Arabidopsis thaliana: one gene and its partners. The protein of the gene in region 2 interacts with the protein of the main gene of each other region in a pairwise test. Each region holds a gene or a part of one and is shown on either strand. Other genes may lie near its edges.

What was found.
Region 1: the proteins of AT5G07475 (region 2) and LPAT2 interact in a protein complementation assay, tested with the Arabidopsis thaliana proteins (one large-scale study listed by BioGRID).
Region 3: the proteins of AT5G07475 (region 2) and AT1G65720 interact in a protein complementation assay, tested with the Arabidopsis thaliana proteins (one large-scale study listed by BioGRID).

What each region holds. Positions count from the first base shown.
Region 1 is NC_003074.8:21,340,630-21,353,693, forward strand, and holds LPAT2 (lysophosphatidyl acyltransferase 2), read left to right. Parts: upstream 1-8,753; 5' UTR 8,754-9,121; coding exon 9,122-9,199; intron 9,200-9,566; coding exon 9,567-9,689; intron 9,690-9,798; coding exon 9,799-9,838; intron 9,839-9,952; coding exon 9,953-10,026; intron 10,027-10,321; coding exon 10,322-10,381; intron 10,382-10,601; coding exon 10,602-10,679; intron 10,680-10,839; coding exon 10,840-10,998; intron 10,999-11,204; coding exon 11,205-11,330; intron 11,331-11,573; coding exon 11,574-11,666; intron 11,667-11,798; coding exon 11,799-11,885; intron 11,886-11,958; coding exon 11,959-12,210; 3' UTR 12,211-12,564; downstream 12,565-13,064. Other genes in the region: AT3G57630 (exostosin family protein), read right to left, coding at 14-261, 360-473, 558-692, 798-884, 983-1,198, 1,307-1,562, 1,653-1,839, 1,938-2,031 and 1 more; AT3G57640 (Protein kinase superfamily protein), read right to left, coding at 4,292-5,362. UniProt on the Arabidopsis thaliana protein: Converts lysophosphatidic acid (LPA) into phosphatidic acid by incorporating acyl moiety at the 2 position. Has preference for C-18-CoA substrates compared to C-16-CoA substrates. Required for female but not male gametophyte development.
Region 2 is NC_003076.8:2,361,800-2,367,592, forward strand, and holds AT5G07475 (Cupredoxin superfamily protein), read right to left. Parts: upstream 3,807-5,793; 5' UTR 3,738-3,806; coding exon 3,560-3,737; intron 3,429-3,559; coding exon 3,028-3,428; 3' UTR 2,907-3,027; downstream 1-2,906. Other genes in the region: PMSR2 (peptidemethionine sulfoxide reductase 2), read right to left, coding at 1-86; PMSR3 (peptidemethionine sulfoxide reductase 3), read right to left, coding at 961-1,212, 2,131-2,487; KUOX1 (KAR-UP oxidoreductase 1), read left to right, coding at 5,368-5,598.
Region 3 is NC_003070.9:24,434,838-24,445,604, forward strand, and holds AT1G65720 (uncharacterized protein), read right to left. Parts: upstream 6,237-10,767; 5' UTR 6,177-6,236; coding exon 5,634-6,176; 3' UTR 4,815-5,633; downstream 1-4,814. Other genes in the region: LSM8 (Small nuclear ribonucleoprotein family protein), read right to left, coding at 273-349, 693-767, 861-901, 997-1,033; AT1G65710 (serine/arginine repetitive matrix-like protein), read right to left, coding at 2,220-3,587; YSL7 (YELLOW STRIPE like 7), read left to right, coding at 7,802-8,180, 9,432-9,693, 9,781-10,105, 10,185-10,767.

The DNA of each region.
Region 1 (13,064 bases), on a different chromosome or scaffold from region 2:
TCAGAGAATATACCTTTCCCAGTAATTTTTGCGCATTGAGTAAGGGTCAGGAACTTTCCAGGCTGGAATCACGAGATCTTTGCGGGGGTCAAAGCAAGGATGATCTCCTCTCCTCTCATCAGATATATCATCCCAGTTATCACCAAAATAAGCTGTTGTTGAATGGTTGTGCTTAGAGTTTGTGTTACCCCAGTGAACTAGCATCATGCTATTCCATATCTCTTTAGGAGCATAGCAAGCACCTTCATCCCATGAGAAAAACTGCCTTTTTCAGGCGTAAAAAGATTAGCCACATTAGTGTGGAGTGATCTGTGTAAGAAATCAAGAAACAAGCTCTAAGTATGTATGCATCATCATACCCAAATATGGTCTCTTCCAGCTGAGCGGTTCCAGTATGGATATTTCTCAACAATGTGTTCATAAGCCCTTTTGTAGAACTCTAAGGTAAGTGAGCTTCTTAATCCAGTATGATTCTGAAAGTAATAAAAACATATACAATATATGAGCTCTAAAGCTTCTACAAGCAGAGAATCAAAAGGTGAGTTTCTCGACCCAACCTGCATGTTAATGTGAGGTGCATCATCAGCACGATTTATAATGCATGAATCCAGAACAGGAACAAAGAAGAAATCTGCCTCTTCTCCATTCATTGTACGATGAGCGGTGGCCAAGATGTTCTCGTAGAATGCCATCTTCAAAATCAAAAGAGACAAAGAAGAGGCAAAGTTATCTTTCAATTCAAATTCAGGAGAAAATTGCTGAATTATCTGGTATTCGACTCAAGTTTAGTAGAAAACCTGGGAACCATATAGATAATCTGTCCATACTGTTGCATTCCTCTCATCATAGATCCTATTAACGCATTCAAATTTAAAATGCCGGCCCTGCAACAACAAATTTAAATCAGAGGAGACTGAGAACTTTATCATAAAAGGTGATTTTAACATTTTGTAGAAGAAAAACTAAAATTTTGGATTGTGACCTCAATAAGTAGACTGTTGAAGTCTGGGGGTAGATCATAGATGTATATAAGAGGCCTTTTTTTCTTCACCACAGCACTCAGATTAATGAGATTACCAGGGACATTTTTTTCACTTGGAACTTCAAGATGTGCTGGTCGAAGCCACTGTGGCCACTCTCCTACCGTCGAGAGAGTGGATGGAATACTACAATCTGTTCCAAACCAGCCTTTATCACACTGAAAAGGCGGTAAAACACACACAAAGTTAGGAAAATTTAGATTATGAATATGCAACCTCTCGGTACCAAAATGTCAAGCGTGGTGACTGTGGATACACAATTTTACCTGGCAGAAACCTCCTCTGCATTTGCCATGTCCAGAGCACTGATTAACGCAGGTGCATTGTACTGGAATTTCGCAGAACCGTCCCCAAAGACAATCATATTTACAGTCACATTCCTCTTTGATTTTCACCTTCATAGCATATGCATCTTCTGGATCCACATTGCACCATCCTTGTTTGCTACTGTTTGTTGTTAGAATATCTAAGTCTGGTTTCGACCAATCTGTCATTTTAGGTTCATCAGGATTCGTCGGCGAACTGAAAATACATGTCTTAAGTTAAAGAGTTTTTAATCTTGATTTGAGAAGCATTTGAGACTGTCAAAGAAAAGAATCAGGTAAAACTTACTTGATTTGAAATCCACATGACTCTGGCACTGGACGGTTTGGATATTTTGTGCCTTCTCCACAAAAGCACATTGCTCTTGTGGTGTCACAATGTCTGGAACAAATCGAAACAACCCATTTTCCGTATGGCATCTCTGGTGTTTTCTCATAATTGCAATCTAAACGAAGCTTTTGTGAACAATCTTCTCCTACACAGAACCGGTCAAAGTAGCTTCATTTACACACCAATCATTTACAAAGCAATCAACATTGGGTTTAGGAAGATTAAAATAGCATAAACACTAACCTGTAAATCCATGGAAGCAACGACATAATCCAAATTCATGGTTACAAACACCTTGACCACTACAATCACTCATACACTTTCTCCCACCAATTGGCTACCAAAAAAAAAAACACAACCATTATAACAAAATCAAAGAAACAAGATTGTTTCAAGATACCAAAAAAAAACTTACTTCAATAATGTCAACTTCTTTAGCAACTGCATCACAACTAGAAAGCCATTGTCCGATCTCAGCTTTCCACGAGGCATTACGATAAACTACTGCACCGTGTGAGTCAGCAGGAAAGCGGCGATCAAAGGCAACAACAACAAGGGATTGACTTGAATTCTTAGTCACTTGTGAGATTGATTCATTACTTGGTCCACAAAGATTCTGAGCTTGTCTTACAGTAATAGAATCAAAAGAAGGCACTACAGGACCAAGAAACAGATGAACCAAGGAAACGAGAACAATGACAGAAGCAACAGTGGCTATCTGAGACCATGAGAACTTCCATTTCTGGTGAGAAAACATGATGGAAATCCGAAGTTGTTAGTTTTCAAAGTTGACCGCCTGAGAATCAGAAAAAGGAAGCAGTTTGATTACATAAAACCCACATGCTCACGAAACACAAAGTAATGGAATTTACGGAATCGTCAAAGAAACTGAGCTGAAATAAAGGAAAGATAGACCCACAAGGTTGGGCAACAACCATAATTGAGCAATTATTGAAACATAAATAAACAAAAAGCAGTGAGCTTTGACCGAGAAACAATGGAGTTTTCAAAGTTGAAATGCGAAGACATTAATGAAGAGGAGTAAGTAACATTGAATCATGGGTTTTCATACATTAAAGGATCCAAACTTAGAAGAATTATTTACATGATTACAAATCAGACATTTGAGCTAGTATTAAACAAGTTACAAGAAGAATCACGAGAAAGAGACAGAACGTATTCAAACAAACATAAGGAAGCTGAGAGAGAGACAAAAACTCACCAGCTTTGACGGAAAACGTCATGGGTTTACAAGAACTAATTAACTCAACAATGGGGAGGATTTATACGATAATTATTACTTACAGAGAGAGATTTGATTATACAATAATTATATAATTAAAATAATAATAATAATGCTTCTTTGTAATAATTAGAAAGAGAGAGATGGCCACGGAGATCTGTGGCTGGCCGGGAAGGAAAGCAATTGTTGATTGATTATGGAAGTGGTCGTCTCTCTCGTGTGCGTCATCTTCCTCCTCTGCTTCGATTCTCTCATTTTTAACTACCTTTCTTAACCTTCTGACCATTCGCCGCCCATTCCCGGTTTGATCTTCTTAACCGGTTTCTTTTGGTTTTCTCATCAATTTTCACTTTTCTTCAAACAAAACCAAGTCAAGACTTCAACTCTGACCAAACCGAGTTTAACCGGATCAGTACCATCTCTAATTCAAATCCAGTAAATAATCTGATTTGTGACGGCTGTGGGCAAAACGGTAAGTACGTGTCTCCTTTTTATTTTAGTTATCGTTTCATTGTCTTGAGAAAGACCGTGGTGGGTGACGCACTCCTCTAACAGACAATTACGTAATTTACCAATCTAGCCCCGTTTGATAGCAATGTGTTCGCTTTTTCCAGAAATCTTTATTTTATTTTTTATGTTAATAATTGAAAATCAGACTCACGTGAACGTAGCGCTTTATCATTGGTTAGGATTTCAGCGACGACTCCGTAAAATTAAAAAGTCTACATTCTCTCCTTCCTACCAACAAAAAAAAAAGTCTACATTTTCCTTTGAATATTCAAACTTTTATTTTTTGTACTACAATAATTTTTATTTAATATCGCTCCCCAATAGTATTGAAATTGACGAATTGTGCCACTATTTCAATCAGCCATTAGAAAACTAATTAGAATCTGTTAAATTGTCACAATCCACCACAAATCGTTGTCAATATTTGGAATCTAAATTGAAACAGAAAGATTCCACTGAAAAAAAAAAAAAAAGTGAGAGAGGCAGCTCAAGGGATGTGGTGAAAACGTGAGAGACTTTTGAATGTAATGGCGATGCACAAACTGCTCTGAGCATGATACTGTAATGTTACTGGACGATGCTACCATATGTTCTGATTTTAATTAATTTTATGGAGTGTTTTAGTTTTTTTTTTTTTTTATGTCAAATTAAAAAGTGAAGTCAACGATTTGTAAACAAGAAGAAACGTGGCTACAAGCCTACAAAAATATGCAACATCTTGAAAAGAAAATTTCTAAATTTATACAGAATAAAAATGAAACTTGGACTTGCTAATCTGTTTTAAACCTTGAAAATCTGTTTTTAAACCATTTATATAATCTATAACAAGTATGTGATATGTAATCTATAAACTTGTTTCACCACAAGAAGAAGAAGAATCTCTAAGGAATCTTTTTAGTTCTTTGGCAACTTCAACCATTTTTGGAACTTCCCCTCTAAGACCAATGCATCTTTCCGAGAGGACAATGAAAGCTTCCATTCGACAACGCTCTTCTTCTGTAACATCACCTATTTTCTCTAACATGTTTGAATCGACAATCTCATCAATGCATTTTGCAAACTTTCTTCTGTTTTCAAAAGTTGTCAAGTCACTCCGATCATAACAAAGCTCATGAAATCTCTCTTCTCCCATCAGAAGCTTTTGCATAAAAATACCAAATCCAAACGCATCAGTTTTCTCCGAGACAATACCATTAATCAAATAATTATCATCCATGTAATCATAATCTCCACCTATACAACCATTACCAAGCTTCACAAATGTTTCTCCTTGTGGAATAGAGACACAGTAGGAGAAGTTACACAACTTAGCAACACCATCTTCATCATCCAATAAGATATCTTCTAAACGCAGAATCCTATATACGAAAGGTCTTGGAAACGCAGTGTGAAGATAAGCTAAAGCAGTTGCAATCTCCTCTGCTATTTTCAATCTTTGTCTCCATGACACAACCATTTTCAGATCTAAACTAGTAGGTTTCTTTGATGCACGATAAACCAAAACTGGATGTTCAGATTCAAGACAACATCCAACCAATTGCATGAAGTTTTTATGACCACTAACAATCGATGAGATGGCTATGTCACGGCAAAAGTTTCCTCCGTTATGCTCACTAAATCTATATCTCCATTTCTTGATGAGTAACAGTTTATGATGATGATGATGGTTATTGTTTTTACCTGAATAATACCAATCGTATGGAATCTCATCGAATAGTTCAGAAACACGATTGGATTCGCTGAAAGTGTCGGTGGCTTCTAGGATTTGATCAGCGGAGAATATTTTGATGGGATTTGCTTTGCCATTGCAAGATTTGATGATCTCTTCTAGCAATGTCCCACCTCTCTCGTGTCCTCGGACCAATCTCTCCCTTTTAATTATGGCTCGTAAACTCTTCTTCTTCCACCACTCCATCTCAAACAACAACGAAAAAAAAGTTTCTTTTACTTTTGAGGATAAAATGACCAAAGATTGAATGACGAGTTGAAGACCACACACCGTGTTGAAAAGTTGTAACGTGAAGTCAACGAAACACCATTAAGGAGTAAGACTTCGTTGGAAAAGGTTTATCTTTTAGAGCAGAAGAAGACAAAAGTTGTTGAAAATTCTTCACCTCTTTGTCTGTTCAGCTCCCTTACTCTCTCTTATACTCTCCTCTGTTTCAAGACAAGCACAGAGAAACGTTACTCCCTCTTATGTTTTAAGTATAAAGACATAAACGTTTTGGAAGAGAAGAGAGAAACTGATTTACTATATTGATAGTTCGGATCCTTATATTGATGAAGCCATGTTTAACGCAATTCTATATGAGTCAGAGCATCAGTGCATCAATTCACAGAGCAGAAAAAGTTCCTCCGTTTTTGCTTTGAAGATTCTTTCTCAAGTTTCCATCTTTCTTCTTCTGGGTTTACATAGTTCTGTGAATCACAGACTGTGATCAGTGGCAACGAACACAGAGAACAAAGATGCATTAAAAGACAAATTTATTCATTGTTTTGTATTGATAGTTCATATGTAATTGATTAAAGAAGAAATATGCGTAAGAGAAGACTAAAGAGTACATTTGGCTAAACCCTTTTTTAAAAGTCCCACATCGACAAGCTAGGGATCGTTGGTCATAAGCTTTGTAGTATAAATAAGAAGCTGAGCCATTCGTTCTAATCATACCTTTCTCGGCCTTTTGGCTAAGATCAAGTGTAGTATCTGTTCTTATCAGTTTAATATCTGATATGTGGGCCATCGGCTCACACGATATTAACTCTATCTTTTAAGGGAGAAAGCCCGCTATGATAGCTTGCTATCTGGGCTTCCACGAGTCGCCCATGCGTTGCACTACTGCACGGGCCTGGCTCAACCCGCCAAACTAGAAGTGAAACTTTTAAAATTTTAGTCACTTTTGATGTTTAGTTTTTAAAATGATGTAGGATTCTTTATCATTCAAAGTCCAAAACATCCAAAATATACGACAAGTAAAAATCTGTGAAGTAAATATATGAACTTTTGCTTGTCTCTGGCAAAAATCTGAATGGTAATGTTTCAGACTGAAGCCAAAATGGCATTGGCATTGTCTCTGCGTCATGTGTGTCTCATCTGCGATCTACAGTTTGATGGATAATTTGCAGAATTCTCAATCAGCATGATGCTATGTTTATGAATCATGTAAGCAGAAACGACTCCTGTTTACGTTATATCAATGTTTCCATGGGTTTTGTTAGTTAAAGATTGCCGCTGGAAGCGTGTGCGTATACTATCACTGAGAAGAAAGATGAAGACAAGCCAAAGATGATCGTAGTAGCTTAAGGAACTCAAGTGGATTCAGACATCACTTTAGAGATCGAAATAGGGTTTGAGAATTGGAAAACAGTGTGAAAATAAGCTAAAGCAGTTGCAATCTCCTCAGTTATATTCATTGCAACGTTCGATGAGATCTTCTAACAGCATCTCCCCCCTCTAGCTCTTGATATCTTATTCCTCAACTAATCGAGAAACACTTAACTTTGAAAAATAAAATGACAAAACTTGAAGACCTCACACACTCTCAGTTGATCAAAACGAAGAACACTAGCTAAGATATAAAGTCAAGCTGTCGTTGTTGAATATCCCACAAAGTCGTCCTTCCAAGAAAAAGCTCACAACAAGACTTGCGGACTAATTTCATAGTTCTTTCTACATCACCTGAAAACTAGTTAGGAAGCTAAGGCTTTCTCTGTTTTTTTTTTGTTTGTCATTGTTCCACTGGTTCTTTGCTACAATTTAGGAGACTAGAACAAAACTAAATTTTTTGTTTGGTTATACAATGCAAAAAAATATCTGCAAAATAAGTGATTTAGTCTCTAACCGAGAAAAAAGTAATTAAAAACAGAGCAATTACTAACTATAATTTCTGGTGTCATTTTGAGACTATAGTTAAAACTTACAAGCAATGTTTTACATAAATCATTTTTAAAATTATAAGTAAAAATGTTGGCGCCTCAGTATTTCAGGTTCGATTCCCATTGTTCTTTTTCAAATTGGATAATTTAGTCCACATTGACAAAAAGAAAGAAAAATCATAATATGTTTAAGGATGCGTCAAGTGTATGCATATATATTGTTGTAAAAAGAAAAAAGGTGTATGCATACGTTTCTAACATATTTTGTCTGGCAGTCAACTATTTGTTATGAATATGTACAATCACATAGAAATGATAGCATGTGGCTATGTTACGTGAATTAAGGCAAATGATCTTACGTAGGGAAAATTGTAACTAAAAACTCAACAACCCTTATTTGTTTTTTTTGTTATCTTTTCCACTTTGCTGCAAAATTTATTGGAGAATCTGAATAAAGCGGTGAGCATAGTACAGCTGAAAATAACTAGATGATGAACTTGTTCTTTAGTTTGTTTTGATTCTTCATTATATTTAAAGAAAATTTGGTTAGATAGATCAACCACTTCAACAATACTTTTGTAACTTCAAATATTTAATAACAAAAAAATTAAAAAATGTTTGAACTTTACTGAAATGAAATTTCGATATTAGAATACTAAAGAATCAAACGTGCACTTAAATATCATTTAGTTTATATTTATACAAACCATGAAAGACTCTCATACTTTACACCGCACATAAACAATCAGAACCATACCAAACCATGTGAATAGAATCACAAAGACGTCATGCTTTAATTTACAAGCAAAAAAACAAAAGGCATCGGCTAGAGAATAGCAAAAAGAGGAAGAATTGAACGGAAAAATTGAAAACATATGGAACAAAGTGGAGCACTTAAACATCCACGGTAATATTAGTATATTAGTCACCTTCAGACTAGGGCCAGACATGAACAAAGGATTCGATGTTAGTGACAAGTAGCATATCAGACTAATAAGGATATATATTAAGCGGTATGGGTAACACATTAATCCTTTCTCCAATTACATTCTCTTTAAGGTTCTAAGATCCGCCACTAGGCCATTTTATTGGTAAAAGTAAAACCATTTTGGTGGTCGTCTATGAGTGTTAAGAATTATGTAACAATTTTTTTGGATTCACCTGAAATAAATCTGTTGATTTGAAATATTTGGACGTTACATTTCCATATATAAGCTTACCATACAAACATTATAATTAATTGGAAAGTCCAGCTAGCACTTTTTACCACATGCAAAGGGAATTAATCCTAACTTAAAAAATTAGGAGTAATCACATCTTGGTAGTGTATACCGATCAATTTCCGACAGACGTTTTTTTTTTCCTTGCCCATTGATTGCATAGTTCAAAACTTCAAAGTTGGCCAATCCAACCAAGTCGAAGAGATAGGAGATGTTTTGAAGTATGAAAACAAATAGAGGGGCTAAAATCAAAATAACAAGAAAAAACGCTTCTGCCGTGTTCGAATGTGTCCTCGTGATCATCTCCGTATATAATCAATCAATCAATAAAAATCCAGAGTTACAAACACTCTTCTCAAAATTTTCCCATTAAATCGCAAAGTTAATTTTGCGATTTTTTTTCTCTTTTTTTCTGGTTGGGTTATTTATTTTCCCCTTTTAAAAAACTTCTGCAACTTGTCTTGAAATCTGGGGTAAAATATTTCTTCATTGGTTTCTGGAAATCTCGGGGAACGATTTGTTGGGTTTTCTTCTTTGTACTCTCTCCTCACATTAGCTTTTGTTGGTGGGATTTTTTGAGGATGGTGATTGCTGCAGCTGTCATCGTGCCTTTGGGCCTTCTCTTCTTCATATCTGGTCTCGCTGTCAATCTCTTTCAGGTTTGGTTTCTGATTCGTTTCTGGTGTTACTCTTTTTAGATTCCGTTGTTGTTCTACATTGTAGATCCTTTCTTCTTTTGTTTTGATTCACTGCTTTTAGGGTTTCCTTCTCCAGAAACTTTGATTCTTTCGTTTTTGTCGGTGATTGTGTCTTAATTCTGAGTGTGCATATGAGAGTATAAGCTCGAAATTGACTCGTGGAGCTCATGCACTGAGCTATAGAGTGTTGTTTGATTCTGCGATTAAGTATCACTTTCTTCAGATTTATCTTGATTTCTATGTTGATTGAATCGAGGAAGGAATCTTTTTTTCTCTCAACTTCGTTTGCTTCAGTTTTGATGTTTACTACTACATATTGTTGTTTCAGGCAGTTTGCTATGTACTCATTCGACCACTGTCTAAGAACACATACAGAAAAATTAACCGGGTGGTTGCAGAAACCTTGTGGTTGGAGCTTGTATGGATAGTTGACTGGTGGGCTGGAGTTAAGGTATCCACAAGCTTTCTCCTTTTTACTAAATGGTTGTTAAGCTTGGATTTTGTTTTATCTTATCTAACTCTATGAGTTCCTCTCAAATTTCTTGTTTCTTTTCCCTTAGATCCAAGTGTTTGCTGATAATGAGACCTTCAATCGAATGGGTAAGTTCATATGCTTATTGGCAATCAAATCAGTTTCTGATGTCTTCAAGATATAAAATTCCTATGTAAGAACGAATCTGTAACTTCATTGACTGTCCTACTATTTTTTTCTAGGCAAAGAACATGCTCTTGTCGTTTGTAATCACCGAAGTGATATTGATTGGCTTGTGGGATGGATTCTGGCTCAGGTACATAATTTCACCTCACAGTTTCATCTATCTTCCTACGTTTTTGTTTGAATGCATAAATGGAGATCAACATAATAGACTTCTTGATGAGAAAGCATGTATACTTGCAATGGGACCATGTATTGCTTCCAAGTATCTACTTAAGAAAGATTATCTTAGGTAGAAGGTGACAGTCCCTAGTGATCATCTGATGAGATATGAGAGAGTATAGCATCATCATATTTTCTCTTAACACGCTCCCTGTTATGCTGTTTACATCTTTTAATCTATTGTTTCATATTTTCTTTCCTTGCAGCGGTCAGGTTGCCTGGGAAGCGCATTAGCTGTAATGAAGAAGTCTTCCAAATTCCTTCCAGTATGTGAATATTTTAGCTTACTGCTGTGTGCTTGCTAGATTTGAGAGAAAATAGTAGTAATCTTTAATTCTATTTCTGAATCTCTTCTATAAGTTAGAAATTTGATACCTGGCTTTGCGTTTGAGAAAAAATCATTGTTTTAGGTTAATACACTTCTCCGCCTTTTTTATCTGTTACATATTCATAGTACTCATAAACAGAATTTTCACACACATACAGGTCATAGGCTGGTCAATGTGGTTCTCGGAGTATCTCTTTCTGGAAAGAAATTGGGCCAAGGATGAAAGCACTCTAAAGGTATGGGTTTATAGTATCCTTGTGCAACTCATTTAGTTTTTGCTCCTGTGTAAAATGCTTATTAGCACGTGCAGCTACCTCGTTCATGAGGGGATTAGCCTAAAAATGCAGAATCTTCATTTCCAGACCATGAGTTATGTGTGTTTGTCTAAATTTACAGTCAGGTCTTCAGCGCTTGAGCGACTTCCCTCGACCTTTCTGGTTAGCCCTTTTTGTGGAGGGAACTCGCTTTACAGAAGCCAAACTTAAAGCCGCACAAGAGTATGCAGCCTCCTCTGAATTGCCTATCCCTCGAAATGTGTTGATTCCTCGCACCAAAGTAAGTTGTAATATTTTTCTTTTGTTCATTCCTGGGGCAACTTGATATCTTCTCTGTGTCCTTTAAAAAGCAAAATGATTGCTATGATGATCCAAAATCTCAATGCATGGGTAGCCTTTATACGTTTCATTTTCATCAGATCGACTTGGTGGTTGTTATTGTGATTTCTGCCCTAATTACTAGACTTGCTTGTATTTTTGTTTCAGGGTTTCGTGTCAGCTGTTAGTAATATGCGTTCATTTGTCCCAGCAATTTATGATATGACAGTGACTATTCCAAAAACCTCTCCACCACCCACGATGCTAAGACTATTCAAAGGACAACCTTCAGTGGTAAGCAAGCAAAAATATGAATAGGTCGTATAGCAGTTGAATCTTGCACTCTTCTCACAACAAATTTCAAAGTATGCACTGGCTTGGATCACATCACCATCCAATTTACTGAAACGAACATAACTCTTTATATCACCTTTACTTTTATAATGTGTAAGAAACCGTAGGACTCATCCCATCCCAAGCCTTTTTCTTTTAAAACCTCCTGCGCCATTAACGCAAACCATTGCTGCTGGTTTCAAGGTGCATGTTCACATCAAGTGTCACTCGATGAAAGACTTACCTGAATCAGATGACGCAATTGCACAGTGGTGCAGAGATCAGTTTGTGGCTAAGGTAAAAATTATGGATGTACTGGTATTTCCACGTTTCAGTTATTGGCAATAATATATTTGGTCAAGATTTGATAGAGAAAAGCTTGGAAAAGCTTTCATTTTGGTATTCTCTCATCTCGTCTCTGTGATACAGGATGCTCTGTTAGACAAACACATAGCTGCAGACACTTTCCCCGGTCAACAAGAACAGAACATTGGCCGTCCCATAAAGTCCCTTGCGGTGAGTCTATAAAATTCATAACATTCTCTTGGTTCCATCTATAAACTCACAAATCTCTTGATCTTTTTCTCAGGTGGTTCTATCATGGGCATGCGTACTAACTCTTGGAGCAATAAAGTTCCTACACTGGGCACAACTCTTTTCTTCATGGAAAGGTATCACGATATCGGCGCTTGGTCTAGGTATCATCACTCTCTGTATGCAGATCCTGATACGCTCGTCTCAGTCAGAGCGTTCGACCCCAGCCAAAGTCGTCCCAGCCAAGCCAAAAGACAATCACCACCCAGAATCATCCTCCCAAACAGAAACGGAGAAGGAGAAGTAAAAACTGGTTCTCACAGATCCAAACATCAAACACAACAAGAAGAAGCGCGTGTCAGTTTTGTTATAAGAAACAGAAAACCAAAAAAAAAAGACATCCAAATGAAAAATCCCTTAATATTATCAACTCCGTTTTGTTCAGCTACTATATTACTACTACTACTACTACGCAGCCTATGTCTCTTAGTCGATTGATGTATAGGGTCATGATCAAATCAACGATTTAATCCCTATAGTCCCTTGGGATTTTTTTTCTCAAGTGCATAGGCCTTGTATAACTTTCTATTTTTAGATTGGAATTTGGGATTGATATTAGACATTTTCCTTTTATTATTAAACTGTTTTGTTCCTTGGTTCTCATTGCTAGTGTAGAATTTATTAGGCACAAAACATGTTATTACAAGACGTTTTAGAAGAAAAAACAGAATTTATTCATGTACATAAATTATCTGACTAGACTAATCCTACTGGGACTTAATTGTGATTAGACAAAAAAAAATTCATTTTGAGAAGAAAAAACAGAAACCCGTTCATGGAATTAACTGAGATTAGACAAATTCAACTACAGTATGACGGTGATTACAGGGAGAATATCGTAAAAGAACAGGTTTTATTTTCTTCCATTTTTGATAGAACACATTTTTTTTTTTTTAATGAGTGTATAATATAATAAACACAATTTTTATTTTAGTTTTCTCAACCCTAAAACTAAAACCCTTTCACGCCGATTCAAAAGAAAAAAAAAACCTTCACAAGTCCGGTTGCTCGCGCCGCTTTTCTCTCTGTTTTCAAACTCCGATTAAAGTCCCGACTTGTATCAATTGATAAACCCTAATTGTCTCCGTTCTTGCTGAAACA
Region 2 (5,793 bases):
TCAGCTACTTGAGGAGGCTCCTGAGCTACCGGAGAAGGAGAAGTTTCCACTACTTGAGGTTCCTGAGTTTTCAGAGAAGAATCCATTGTTAAGTGTATTGTTTGATGATGAGACCTCGGGAAGCTCGTTTATATATATAAAGAAGCTAGTCAGAGATTAACACCTAAAAATCATCGCTAAATAGGAATATTCATATTTCAATGTAAGTAGTATTTGACACACAAGAAAAATACATTCAATCAATACTATGTGTAGCATTTATAATTTGGTCAAATTGTTAATGAATAATGGATATATTACGCGTCATTTCTTTTATTGTATATAGAAATACTGTATCAACTATCTATTTAAAAAAAAAATCCAACAACCATCATTATAATTTGGAAACATAATTCAAAAAAATTGGTTGGTCTGAAATTATTTAGATCAATTCGTATTTGAGAAAGACAATCTATAGATTGGTCAGATATAATATTGATCAAAACTTGGAAAACATGTGTTTATGAAATGACTTTTGATACCGTTCACATTTTTTTTGGGTCAATTACTCAACTAGCTAGTTCTAAGCTCTATTATATGAACTATGAAGGATGACTTAATAATAAACAATCATGCAAGTATGCAACTTGTAGGTTGGTGGGCACGTTTGTTTATGCAATCAAAACTAGAGAATCATTACTCTAATAAAGGAATGGCCCTCCAACACTCTTTTTTTTTTTTTTTTTCGTTGGCTACATTTACCATGTTGATGGCTTTTTAGATCTAGTAAGGATCGCAATGATTATTTGGTTTATGTTTATAGAGTATAACATCAATATTACAACATTGCGAATGAAATTCCAAAGAAGTAGTTACATAGCGTGTGAACAACTTAGTCAAGTTTTACACAATCTATTTGACACACAAGTCCTTTGATGCTAAGTCCTCTGTTTTCGGAGAGGGACAGAGGAAAGCAGCTTATTAGCCGTAACAGCGGATTGGGTCGTTGCAGCCTTTGGCAGTGGATTGCCCTTGGCCAAACCGCCCACCTTTTGACAGATACTGTTGATGATGCTCTTCAGCTCTGTAGAATTTCTTAGCTGGCAAGATTTCAGTCATGATCTTTCTCTCCATTTGTTGCTGGTGACGTTCAAGTGACTCACGGGCTAGTTTCTCCTGCTCGGGTGTGTAGAAGTATATTCCAGATCTGTATTGGGTTCCCACGTCATTTCCCTGATCACAGCAAAGTCATAAATCAAAGTATCAATTTAGCATGGAAGTAGGCTGCCGAGAAAACTGAGTACTTAAACTAAAATTATGATAGTAAACACAGAGAATTCAAACTCATGAGATAAACAGTCATAAGACTGGTCAGTATATGCTATTGAAAGTCAGAGAAGATGCAAATGTAAATTGTCGGAAAAAAGCATAAATAGGATTTTTTTTCATCATAATACACAAGGTTAACATCATCGAGATAGTTGTCCCGAGTTTGCAACAACAGAAATTGCTAAAACCATATAACCTAAACAGACCGCTTACGATTTGGTTTCGTACATGCGTAGAATTTGAGAATACTTCGCTATGAACCCCAACGAGATAATTTGACTATAAGCTAGTGAATTTCTCAAACAAAACTAGCAGAAACTTGCATATGATTATAGTTCTCTGCGCACAGATGCAAGACAAATGATAAGCCAAACTAACATCAATATAAACAAACATGAAATCCAATGCTAATCAATGATCATGAACAGAACAAGAAGAACCTCTCTGAAATCCGTATCTCTACCTCAATTAAAAAGGGAGCAACAGGGGAGAGATTACAGAGCTACTACATAATCTGGATCATACTAAGATCAACGACCAAAGTTACCAACTCAAGCCTCATAATTCAACAAAAATCAAGATTCAATATCATTTCCTTCCTCATATTCTACTTAGATGATCAAGGTTCCAAATTTAAAAAGTTTCAAAGTAAAGACTGGTGATGAAAATCAGAAAGCTATCAGATTTGAGAAAAATCAAGAAATCCCCAAAGCACAACAGACTCAGGCACATCCCAATAGATTCAATAATCCTAAAGACAGAATCTTTCTCAATCCCCGAACTTGAAAGGTTAAAACTTTCAACTCTTGGATCCAAAAATACCTGGCGATTCAAAGTGGTGGGATCATGCCTAGACCAGAACAAATCAAGCAGAGACTCATAGGTGCAATCGTTAAGATCATATTGAACCCTAACAACCTCCGAATGGCCTGTGGTACCAGAACAAACATCTCCGTATGAAGGATTGTCTACGGTCCCTTGGGTGTATCCAGCCTCGGTCTGAGTCACCCCTGGGACTCTCTGAAACGCCAGCTCGACACCCCAGAAACATCCAGCTCCGAATTGGGCAAACTGATTCCCCGGCGCCGGTGTGTCATCGTCATTTCCCTGAGCGATCGGAGAAGGATCCATATTGGTTTGCCCACTTGATCCCAAACCCAATCTGTTGAGTATGTTCATTGAGAAATTTCTAAAGAGAGATATGAACAGAGGAGAGGAGAGAGATGCTGCGAAACTCAAGACGTGTCTTCCGGTAACTAGCGTTTGCGTTTTGGTAGCGATCACGATTAGATAGTGATAACCACAACTTTTAATCGCAGTGAATCATCTGTGATATAGATACGGTCAAACGGTGAATTTACTACACCGAACCAGATAAAATTACCTAAAATATAAACCGATATCGGTTATTTTTTGAATTTTCCGCTATCGAATCGAACAAATACAAATTCAATGTAGTCAAAGAATCTAATTCCTTTTTTTTTATTATACATTGATTGATTAATAACTTTAAGCATAACGTTGTTTACATGTCATTTTTGTAAGAAATTTGCTGAGCAAACAAAACGAAATTTGTATAACGAACCAAAAATTTAGGTTTTAATTTGGTCATGAACTCAAACAAAAATAAAGAAATTCAACAAATAAATACTCTCACTCATTATAGGGCAAATATGAATACACATATACATGAAAACACTTATTATAGATAGTTTTTAATCAGCAAAACCATATGAATGGAAAAGCAAAAACCATAAAATATACAAAAATTCCCATGGTACCCCTCCAACCGCTGTCGCCAACAAAACGGGCGGCTGAGCTAGCGACTCCGGTCGCAGGGTTATTCTTTTTAGAAGATGGTTGAAGAATCCCTGAAGTGGCGGCTTGGGGAGATCCCACGGGAGCCTGAGATGGGCCATTGCCTTCAACATTGACTAGTAACCTCATACCGGCGAAGCAATGGAGCCTATTACCGCATACAAAGAACCGGTTTCCCGGTTTGGAAAGAGCAACGGTCGTGTTCCCGTTTGTGAACGTCCGGATCGCATCTGTTGTGTTGCAATTTTGGTAGTTGTCTTTAGCCACTTCGTATACACTATGCGTCGATGAGTATTGGAACACTTGCAAAAACATTATACACATAATTAATTAGACTAATTAGTTCATTAAGGGAAACTGTAAATTAATTTGAGTTTTTAATTATGTAGTATATATATAGTTGGATGAAGCCAACATGATCAAAGATACTTACTTAGAACATCACCAGGAGAGAATCGCTTGCCTGAAGTCCAAGACTCGAGATCGGAGCTTATGTCCCAACCGGAGCTGTCTCCTACAAAGTATGTCGTTGCGTTACATCTTCTTATTACTACAACCCCAAATATGATGCAGAGATTGAAAAGAAATTGTATCTTCGACGTCTTCTTCATAGTGCACGCTGTTTGTATTTTCTCAATAAATTGCGTTTAATTTTCTTGTATTGCTATAGTTGTCTATATGCATATGTGTGAATGGAATTATGGAAATATATATGTTTTTATATAAGGCATAGGTTAAGGTTGCTCATTGGTGGATAACCTAACTTCACAACCACCACAACATATATGATCTGCTTTGTTCCCTATAGCCTTTTTTTTGTTCTTAACAAATTTTTCGTGTTTCACAATTCATATGATTCATATGCTGTTAGTTAAAGTCCACAACCCTAAAATGGTTAAATCTTGATGGAGATATTGAAGCAGTAATTCATATTTATTTTTTGTTCTTGATTGCACAACATACAAATATAGGGAAGATTTTAATGGCCAGTAAATAATGCTTGTATTTATATATGATCTTGTGGAATGGTGATATTAGTTGTTATGTACTTTTCCTTTTCTCGAAAATACTTGCAGAGGGCTTGGAATTGGCATTGAAGGGGTGTTGAACCATAACTCCTCGACTAATCCTGAGTGTTTCTCTTTACCAAACCTACCTAATAATATGCGTCCAGAGAATTTCCCTTGTAACACTTTTTATAGTTGTTGGAGCATCAGAACTAGAACATGTATGATCGAAAAATTATACTAGATATATGGTTTAGCCTTTTGGGATAAAAAGTTAAAATATAGTCGAATTTTTAAAACATGTACAAGAAAACAATTCTTTTTGTCCTAAAATATAATTTCTAGGATGAACATTTTGTTTGCAACTTTTATTTACGTATTACGTATTTATAAATTAACTAATATACCCAACGAAAAATAGTACTAATACTGTATATCACTAGAAGCTAGGTAGTTGTATTTCGATGAAAAATCGATGTAATATTATTTCTTAATTGCTAGTTGTGTTAAATTATGATTGAAAATTCTCATTTTAATGTCAGTGACAATGTGACATCAGACATTTTTTTGTCTTTCCCAAAGGAAGATAAATGCCCATTGCATGAAGGAACCCGGCGCAATACATTTTACCTAGACCTTACGCATGACCGTATATAACAATTTCATTATTATTTTTACAGAATTGTTACAACTCAAACGACATATATATCGAATTTATCTGTACATGCATTCACATATGTGTCCAACATATTTATGAAGGCTTGAAATCCGGACAAGAGGATGCTTTTTTGCGGAAAGCTTCTTTTTGTTTTTTAGTAGTTGGGACTATGAATGAGATCGAAGTCTCCATTTAAAAATTAAATCCATGTTAGTGTTCCTACTTCCTACTATATCCCAACATCTTATTAATATCCCTCGTCATATATGAATTTGGACATTCTTATACATTTCGTACAACATATGGATGTTCATTATATTATCATTTTGATAATAAAGTTTAGTTTCTTATTGGTACACGATAAACAATTGACAGTTACACATGCTCTAGATATTCCAAAAAGGAAGAATAATAATTTAGTATTCGACCGTCATATTTTAATATATAACTCCGAAATATCAATAAACGACTACAAGCCTACAAACCTTATATATAGAGGAGCCACTCACACTTTCATTTTAGTTATCCCTTCACAATATTAACCGATTTCTCAACACTCAAATTCAAATACCAATAATGGAGAAAGGTGAGGATTCAAGCACATTCAAAATGGGGAATTCTGCACAAGAGAGGAGTTTACCGTATGTACCTGACTGTTACGTCGTCCCGCCTTCTAGCAAACCATGTGACTCAAATTCCGGAATCGTACCCACTATCGATGTTTCTCGGCTGAAAGGGGGAGATGATGAACGTCGAGGGGTTATTCAGGAGCTAAGTTTGGCATGTCAACATCTTGGTTTTTTTCAAGTAAGCTATTTTACAAGTAAATTCATATAACTTTGAGTTTTTTTCCGAAATTTTGGTTGCAAGGAAACTGCTTTTTCATCCACTTTTTGTTTCTTTTTATCAACGATATATGTAATGTAGAAGTTTGCTTACATTTGATAACCACGGATTCAACATAGTATTAACATACATATAGTTCGTGTCATTATTTAAAAT
Region 3 (10,767 bases), on a different chromosome or scaffold from region 2:
TAAACAAGAAAACAGACATGAATCAAACCTTTAACCCTCTTACGAAAAAAAGGAGGTGATCATGTATAATTAATTACACACTGCCAATATCTACGTATTTGACTTACCTATCACTAGCTAAATCTTTTGACATATGAACTCACAAGATTTTTTCAATCAGTTATAACACTCGAAGAATACTAACACTAAATCTGTTTCGGTGTATCCAACACTATCTGATTTAGATACTTCCATTCAGAGGCCAGTTAGTTCATGATTCACTATTCTCTTACCAAACAAAGAACTGTAGGACAAGGCCTATCTTAAATATCTGAGTAAGTTTCCTCAATATTCTGTTGAAAAGATGACACTACGCAACTAAATCAAGCAATGTACATTATTAGCAAGAACGTAGTACCAATTAAAAGATCAATACCAGACGACGAAAGATGCTTTGAGTGACAATGAACAAAAGATAAACTAGCATCCTTATAGTACCTCTATTTTTCTAGTTTTATGCGATCACTACAAACAAAATATGGAGACATCGAGAACTCTGCTACATCATAGCCACTCATGGATACAAACCAACAAGGTTTTGCAGGTCATACACTGGCCAATTTACTTGCAGAAAAATGTATTTGCACCCATTCAATTTAGTAACATCGAAAAGTTCAGATGAAAATACTTTAAAACAGGAATCAGAAGCTAACCTTTGTGGAAAACACACGTTCATGAGATTCATCAAGGATTATATTTGTAGCCTGGTCAAAACCTTTAAGAACTCCCTGAAAAAATATAAAAATCGATCTCTTTACTAAGATACTTGCATTGACATAAGGAGTTCTAAACCAGATATCACACAAGAGAGTATAACATACCACAATGTTGCGTCCGTCATTTGTAATCACCGAAATAATCTCTGCAGCAACCAATCAAAAGATAAGATCTTTAGACAATTCATGTGACAGAACATCACATATCAATCGAGAATGGCAAAAAAAAAGACTAACTTACGATCGACGAGAGTCTCAAGTCCAGTAGTTGCCGCCATGTTACAGTTCGGAAATTATTTGAACTGAAAGGTTACTAAAAATTAGACTAGGAATTTCATCGAACACTTGGTGTGCTTACGGATAACAATGAAAAATTAATAGATTTCGTATCCATCTCAACGAGAGATTTCACCAAACTTAACATAAATCCAGAATTACGAGAAACAAATGATAATTCCAGTGTAATTTGACCTAAATTAAAAGAAACCACCGAATAGAAAACGAATGTAAAACAGGTTCTGGTTCACCGGAGGGTTTCAAGGAATTCAGAAGAAGAAACGTATGAGGGAAAAGCTCTAACCTTTGCTGCTTCGGAATCTGAAAATCGTTACTTGGCGGAGATTCTGATTGGTAAAGAAACCCTAAAAACCTTTTCGTCACTGTTGTTCTTAGAAAACTCTCCGGCGTGTGTTTTTGCTTTTGGATGTTGCTTTTAACTACGAAATGTTAAAAGAAATACTCAAACCGAACCGAACATTTTATCCGGTTTAGTTATTTTATCCGAAACCGACAATTCTGAAAATTTTCACCTGAACCGAACTGTTTAATCCACCAAGTATGCATGGTTCGGGGTTCAGATCGGATTCAGTTTAGATTTTTTGGATTCATCCGATACAAAAATTTAGTATATATTTGGGTTCTATGATTATTTGGTTCGGTTTTTGGAAAAAACTACATATTTTTTCAAAATTTTAATAAAAATTGAATTACAAAAAATATATAATTTTGTCATTTAGTTTAGGTATAATACTAAGAATTTTCGGATATTTTGGATATATATAATATATCTAAGATATTTTTGGATATTTTTGTTAATTGGTTAAGGTATAATTATAATTTAAAACATCTAATAATTTTGAATATGTAGATATTGTTTCGATTTTTCAGATATACTGTTTGGTTTTTGTTTCTGTTCGGGTTCAGTTGGGATAATTCGTGTAAAATTATTTAAAAGTCTCTCCGGTTATATGATTATTTGGTTTGGTTTCGGGTCCGATACAGGTTTTTTGGGTTTTATGCCAGACTGAAGATAAGAAGAAGATTCATTGAAATTGTCAAATTGACATCTGAATTACAAAATAAACCAAACAAAGGAAACAACAATAGACAAACAAAACAACAATTTCTCCATATTAAACCGCAACAACACGAGTTTCTGTTATTGCTAAAAGTGAATCTCCCTAGTCACGTAACATTGTTGCTACCAGATGATTCCTCCAACGAACCACCACCTCTCTTCACAGTCACATACTTCTCAAAACTCGGTTCCATAAGATCGGCTTTCTTCACCGTCGATGTGAATCTAAACCGGCTCGAATCAGACCTCAAACAAGTTCTGTTCGTCATAGAGTTAAGATCAGCCACTGCTTCAACAATTGAACAAGCTTTACTAACACACAATGGCAGCGAAATCACGCTATCATCAACACTCTTCCCATGAAAACTCTGAATATCTTTCAACAACAATGCAGTGTAATTGTTATCCTCGTTTGATACCAAATCGAAATCTCGAGATTTCCTCAACGATCTGCTTCTGCTTAACACAACTTGAGGAGCTTTCGTAAGTTCTACAACAGCAACACGACTCGGGCTTGGACCTCTACTTGTTCTTGAATTAGGTTTCACAGATTCTATCATCTTCTTAGTGTTTTGATCAATCTCTCCCAATGGATTTCTTCTATAGGGAGATTGTTCCGCCTTTCTTGAATTACTCCGGCTTAGCGAGGGAACATTATTCCCCGCTCTAGCCGGAGATTTTGACCTCGGAGACGCCGCTATTCTGCAAGCGTCTCCGATGTTTCTCTTAACCGTAATCCGTTTTACTAACGGCTCTACATTGTTACTCTTATCCGTTGCAGGAATCGTAACAAACTTTCCCGGTCTATTATTACTCGAATTTACCGAACTGCCACACGAATCAGCGTTACGAATCTCAGAACGTTTCGCCGGAGATCTACTCACTCTCCTACTACCACCGCCGCCACCGCCGACATTTCCTCTTTCTCTGCTTCCCGATCTTTCTCTTTCTCTACTCGGAGTTCGTCTTCTCCGTTCACGAGGCGAACCATGCACTCTCTCTACTCCACGGTGACGATTTCGCTGCATTCCGTCTTCCTCCGCCGCATCGCCGCCGCGGATTCTCTCGTTCTGGTCAAAATCAAAGCTTCTTTTAGAACCAGAGTATCTTCTTGTTTTAGCAGCAGAGTTGCTTCTACTTAGCTTCCCACATTGTATCAATATAGCATCAACTTCTTCTTTAGTACAGCTAGAGATTCTCACAAGCGGTGTAGAATTCGATTTCTCAGCCGCCACAGGAGAAGAAACTGGAGAATCTTTATCTGATTCTGTCTTCTTGGATCTCTCTTCATGGCTTCTTGTGTGTTTTATCACCACAACTTCTTCTTCTTCTTCTTCTTGATTCAGTTTCTCAGATTTGGGTTTTGCTTCTTCCTCCAAAGGCTCAATCACTGGTTCCATGGGTTTGATTGGATCTGAGGGTTTAACACTAGAGGGAAGAGAAGGGGAAGGTTTCTTGCTGAGACAGCAACCCATTTTGTGACAAAGAATTTTGAAGAACAGAGAGATTTTGAAGTAGAAGTGAGTCAAGAACAAGAGAGTTTTTAGGGGAATGTCTTTTGTGTAAGAAGACAAAAAGATTCAAAACTTCAAACTTTTTTGTTTGGTAATGCGATTTGTGACAGACAAAAGTTCTTTTATTTCAGAAAGTATTCGGATAGGACCCATTACTTTCTAAAATTAAGAAAAGTCGGGTGAAATTGTAAGCTTTGAAGAATAATGGGGTCAAAGTGGAATTAATTTATTTTATTAAAGATAGTAATTTTGAAATTGGAGCCGTTATACACACTGCAGTCAATGTCGTATTATCTCTGACCCTTTTTGCCTTTTTCAAAGCAAAATGGTTCTCTTCAAAAATTCTTTTAATAAGTTTTAGAATTCCAACGGTTATTTGCATGTTTGATGGTTTTGTTTGTTTACCAAAAGAATATGAGGTTACAAATTAGGATATGAAGAAATAAACATCAGTAGTTTCTATTGAAAATAAAATTTCGTTTTATGTATAAATAATTTACTGAGTTTGATTAATGATATTTGTTGTTAATCGAGTGCTTTCATTAATATTAACTCATGTGACCAAACTGAATGGTGATGTGCAAGTTTCTTCATATGTATAGTGGAGGACCCAAAAACAATTTTATTTTATTTTATCAGATAACTAAAATACTGAAAAAGAAACGATAAACAATTTCTTTTGAGGTAGTTTTTTTGAATATATATGTAGTTTTTTAAGAAAAGAGTACCAAGACAATTAGGTTCTTTTGAGGTAGTTTTTTAAGAAAAGAGTATATATGTAGAAAGCAAAATCTTGCACCATTTGTGTTGACAATCGAAAATCGGACCGATTTTGAGACATCTATAGATTCTATTACCAAGACAATTAGGTACTGGATTTTACATACATAAAACAACCTCAAATCAAATAGTAACATAACAAAGGATTGTTACAAGGCAAATAACTACTAGACTAGAGAGAATAAGGCACTTAATTGTTCCTCTGCATCCAAGACATCAACCTTTAAGCTATATACATACACAACGATGACCATTAGCAATAGAAACTAGAGACTCTCAATGCTTTGAAAGCTATGCAAATCAGAAATTAGTATCAATGAGAATCATCCACATATCCTGCGACCTACTTAAAAGGGTCTACCTACTAGGTAGTCAGAAATATAACAAGAAACAGAACAGAAACTAGACACTGCCTAAAGTTCACAATGCTTGAAAGCTATTAAACCACAAAATGGGGCAATAAGAACCATATATACAGATGACCATAAGCAATAGAACCTAGACACTCTCAATGCTCTGAAAGCTATGCAAAACTCAGATTGGGGTCAACCAGAGTCATCCCCATATCCTGCTACCTACTTAAAAAGTCTAGCTACTAGCTAGTCAGTAAGATTACAAGAAACGGAACCGAAACTAGACACTACCTTAAGTATGCAATGCTTGAAAGCTATTAAACAACAAAATGGGGCAATGAGAACCATACACACATATGACCATAAGCAATAGAAAACTAGACACTCCCAATGCTTGAAGGCTGTTCAAAACACAGATTGGTTAACGAGAATCAGACACATATCCTGCGACCTACTTAGGTTCTAGCTAATCAGTGCTTGAAAGAATGAAAGCTATTAAACCACAAAATGGGGCTATGAGAACCATACACATATCCTGCGACCAAGTTAGGTTCTAGCAAGTCAGAAAGAAAACAAGAAACAGACTTCTCGAGTCACGACCTTGGTTCCTTTGATGATCAATCCATTTAAGTATTAAGCTCCTAAACTAGTCACATTGGTATCAAAGATAATGAATAAATCCATAGGTAACATCATAATCACACTTATATATATCTAAGAAACATCAACTACAAATCGTAAAAACACTGATACTTAGAGTATAGTAAGTTTAGATAAATCCATAACAGAGACGAATTTACTTGTACGCAACAACATAGATAAGCAACAACGTAAATCATGATAATATGCAGAAACTGAAATTCACAACCTCAAATCAAGCAGCTTCCTTCACAGGAGCAGGAGCTGGAGCTGGAATCTTAACATAACCCAATTTCTTCAAGCTAGCAGCATCAGATTCATCATTCTCATAATCATCTTCTTCTTCCTCAAAATCATAGCTTTGACGATTCACAACAAGAGCCCAAACAAGATACATAGTAGCAGCGGTTAAAGCACCACAACCAACACCGAACAAAAGCGCGACGACGACGCTAAGAATATCTCTGGTTCGATCTCTAAACGAATTGATGTTATCAGAGATCAAAGGGAGGGAACGATCCGATTGGATCTGTGGCTTCTCGTGACGACGATTGACGAAGAAAGGAACCACGTGGTGAGGATTTAGACGACGGATTGTGAAAACGGTGACGAATCGTGTGGAGGTGAAATCGGATTCGAGGTTAGGGTTTTCTGGGGTTATTGAGAGGGAATATGAGGAGATTAGGAAGGTTTTGCAAGGACGTGCGGTGGTGATGGTGGTGATTGAGAGGAAAGCTACGACGGCGATCGCAAATCGGAGGTACGATGATGACGTCATTGTTATCGTCTTTGACTTCTTCTTCTTCTTCTGACGATTTTGAAGACAAACCTAACCCAAGAAGATTCGGTGAACGAAGAAGATTAAAAAGATTTTCTAAGATACGTGTTATTATGAAATAACCCCTCTACTTTTGTATTTGATCATATAGGTCCCTTTTATCTTCTTTTCTTATAAAAGGTGCCAAAATATTATTTAATTTTGACTTAACTATTTTAAGTCTAAATCTCATTATTTATACTCACATAAGCAAACAATAGATTTATTTCTCTATTTATCTAATTTTCAATAGGTTAATTGTTAATTGATATGAATTTTGTCCAAGTTATACAAGTTCTAATACCACAAATAGTTTGTGTAATATGTGAATAGTCTGAACCCACCTCGCATATAATCAAACTTCTAGTAGTTATAAATTCATAAGATTTTTGTTATTCTAAGCAAGTTAATGATGCATTCATGGTCAATATCAAGTTAACCATTTGTTTATTAATATAGTATAGTCAAACTTTCACATTTTATATTTATTAGTCAATATTAATAGCTAAGATTTTTTTACCTAATTATTATGGTTAGAGAATCTAAATGAAAATTCTATCTAGTCACTCATAGTCTCGTACCATAGAATAAGAGCACGACACTTTCGAATATTCCAACTTTTCTCTTATTTAAAATAATCCTCTCCTTTCTTGTAAACAAAGAGCTAGGTTAGACTTAAATTTAGCAGCGGTCACAGAGCGATAAAGGAAAAAAATGACGATCTCAAATGCCACGACATGACATGATAGAATCTTTGAGGCCAGCCATGAGCCCATGAGGATCATCCTTCGTGGCAAAGCCAGCTCACGTTTAGAGTCTTTAACAATGTAGTGAGAGAACATAAAAATGAAAATGTCAAATCGGTGTAAACGTTTGGACACATAGTTTTTATTTTTTTTGGTCTTTCCACATAAATAATTTGGTACTATTGAAAAGCGATAGAAATATTTTTTTTTTGGGAAAATTGTGGTAGAAAAAGTAAAATTCCCTTGTAATCTTTAATTATAAAAAATATTGGTTAATAGTTAAGTACTCCGAAATTAAAAGTAATTTGAAGAACAACTCACTATATAAACGACTATTGTTCTGAAATCAAATGTTCAAACAATATTTACGTGTATTTTCATTTTAATATTTTAATTCTTTTCAAAAAAACACATTTGCAACTAAAACTTAATTCTGTTAAGATTAATACAATCTACGACCCGTCATAATTGGCTCGTTTAACACGTAAACATGTCATAATCTAAATTCCAAAATCCATTTACGTATCAATTTAATTAACTCTAAATCCACACCAAAGAAAAAACTCAGATTTTACACTGTGTATACACACCACACCATAGTCCACGTGCACGTAGGTTAATTATTTATAAAAAAAACACATTTGACTTATAAATATAGAAATATTAAAACAGATTCGCTTCTCTCTCTCACTCACACAATAGAGAGAATCATTCAGTTACAAGAAAATCGTCCTCTTCTCTCGCCGATCTCTTCTCTTCAGATCCTCTCCTCTATAAAATCTCTCCCTCTCTCGTTCCCCTCCTCAGATCTGACTCAAATCAAATCAAAAACTCTCAGCTATGGAAGTCGAACGATCGAAGAAAGACGACGATCTAAACAATGGATCTAAATCCAACGAAGAAGAAGAAATCTCCGTGGAGAGAATCTTCGAAGAGAGTAACGAAATCCCACCGCCGTGGCAAAAACAGCTCACGTTCAGAGCTCTAATCGTGAGTTTCATACTCGCGATTCTCTTTACCTTTGTGGTGATGAAACTGAATCTAACGACTGGGATTATTCCGTCGCTGAATATCTCCGCCGGTTTGCTTGGTTTCTTCTTTGTTAAAAGTTGGACTAAGATTCTTAATAAAGCTGGTTTTCTTAAACAACCGTTTACACGGCAAGAGAATACTGTGATTCAGACTTGTGTCGTCGCCTCCTCCGGCATCGCCTTTAGCGGTACGTTTTTTTGTTTGTTGATGTGAACGCGTCGATGGAATTTGGTGTCGCCGTCTTTAATTTTGTTTCTATTTACGGCTAAAACTTTTTTGCTGTTAGGTCTCTATTGAAAATGACAGAGTATATACTTCTTTTTTGTGTTTATCGCTTTCTAAAAAAAAATATGAAAATTAAATAAACTATATAGTTGTTTAAAAAATATAATATGTGCAATAGTTAAAAAATTAAAACCGATCAAGTTAAAACCTAGACTAGGAAACTAATATCACACGATCTTTTTTGATAAAAATAAATGTGTATGGGTTTGATACTTCTTTGCAGTATGTCAAAATCAAGTGGATACTTCATACTTTCTTTAGTATGTCAAAATCAAAGTTGATTAGTGAGTGACGTGAGAGATTCATATCCGAGAGCAATGTGTATGACTTTTTTTTTTGTTATAAAATAAGAACCATATCTACACGGCAAGTTGATAGAGAACATGACGCGTGAGATTCGTATTTAGGTCTAAGTCAATGATGTTTTAGCATATGATTAGTTGATTACGGCACTTAATTAGGAGCTTCAACTTTTTATTTATAGTAGACTAGAATTAGCTGTTATTTTTCTGGATACTTACGTTAGAGATTATATTAACAAAAAAAAAAAAAAACTAATCCACTATCGTTTGACTTCTTACTTTGCATGGGATAAGATTGGTAAACTAAAGTGAGAATCACAATTTTTTAGAGGATAATTATGACTTTCATATTTTTAATTAAATGGTGTTGTCTTGAGAATTTAATATTTGGAACTATTTTCGAGATTTGAAACAGACATCACCACTCATCGTGTACACATACTTAATGCATGGAGAGATTGAAATTCCAAGGAAACCACTATTTTTGATTCTCACGTGATTCGTTATGACGTCAATTTTATTTTAATAAGAGTTGACTTGCTATGCCCACCATGTGTGTCAAATGGGAACCTATTTGGCACATGACCTTTAATTTCATACTATTATATAGGAACTTTAGTTTGTGGTATACGTTATGATTAGATTTTGGCTTGGTTTTTAATTTAAAGAAATCAATTCACATCTAACATGTTCACAAGATTTAATACCTACCTTAACAATATTTTGTGTTTGCTAACCATAACTAATTTTATAGTTACATGAATGAAATTTGTTTCCAATATGTTTGGTTCTCTCTTGGTGTATTTACGACCATAGTTTGGCTTAAAGATTGTGTGTTTGTGTTTGAACAGGTGGGTTTGGTAGTTATCTGTTTGGAATGAGTGATGTTGTTGCTAAACAATCTGCGGAAGCCAATACTCCGTTGAACATAAAGAATCCACATTTGGGTTGGATGATAGGATTTCTCTTTGTCGTTAGCTTTCTTGGTCTTTTCTCCGTCGTTCCTCTTCGAAAGATCATGATCGTGGACTTCAAATTGACATATCCTAGTGGTACTGCCACTGCCCATCTCATTAACAGCTTCCACACACCTCAAGGTGCCAAACTCGCAAAGTAAGAATCTTTCATCATGCCCCCATTACAATCTTTCTTTTGTCTGTTGAATATTGATCACTTTTTTTTTCTCTATGTATAACACAGGAAGCAAGTCAGAGCATTGGGCAAGTTCTTCTCATTCAGTTTCTTATGGGGTTTCTTTCAATGGTTCTTTGCTACTGGTGACGGTTGTGGTTTCGCCAACTTCCCTACATTTGGTCTCAAAGCCTATGAAAACAAATTCTACTTTGATTTCTCTGCTACATATGTTGGTGTTGGAATGATTTGTCCATATCTTATCAATGTGTCTCTTCTCATCGGAGCAATTCTCTCATGGGGTGTTATGTGGCCTCTCATTGGTGCCCAAAAAGGCAAATGGTATGCTGCTGATCTCTCATCAACCAGTCTCCATGGTCTTCAAGGCTACAGGGTACTGTGTCTCTCACTCTCTTTTCCTTCATTTCATTCAATAAGAGTTTACAATCTTAAGTTGTGTTTGATGCCCTCAGGTGTTTATAGCCATAGCTATGATCCTCGGTGATGGTCTCTACAACTTCATCAAAGTCTTAGGCCGCACTGTCTTCGGTCTATACAAGCAATTCAAGAACAAAGATGTTCTTCCTATCAACGACCATACATCAACAGCCCCTGTAACCATTTCCTACGACGACAAAAGAAGAACAGAGCTTTTCCTCAAAGACAGAATCCCATCATGGTTTGCTGTAACCGGTTACGTAGTATTGGCTATAGTCTCAATCATCACAGTTCCACATATCTTCCATCAGCTAAAATGGTACCACATTTTGATCATGTACATAATCGCCCCTGTCTTAGCCTTTTGCAACGCCTACGGTTGCGGACTCACTGACTGGTCCTTAGCTTCCACTTATGGAAAACTCGCCATTTTCACCATCGGAGCCTGGGCTGGTGCATCTAACGGAGGCGTCTTAGCTGGACTTGCAGCTTGTGGTGTCATGATGAACATTGTCTCAACAGCTTCTGATCTTATGCAAGATTTCAAAACCGGTTACATGACATTAGCCTCACCAAGATCAATGTTCTTGAGCCAAGCCATTGGAACCGCCATGGGAT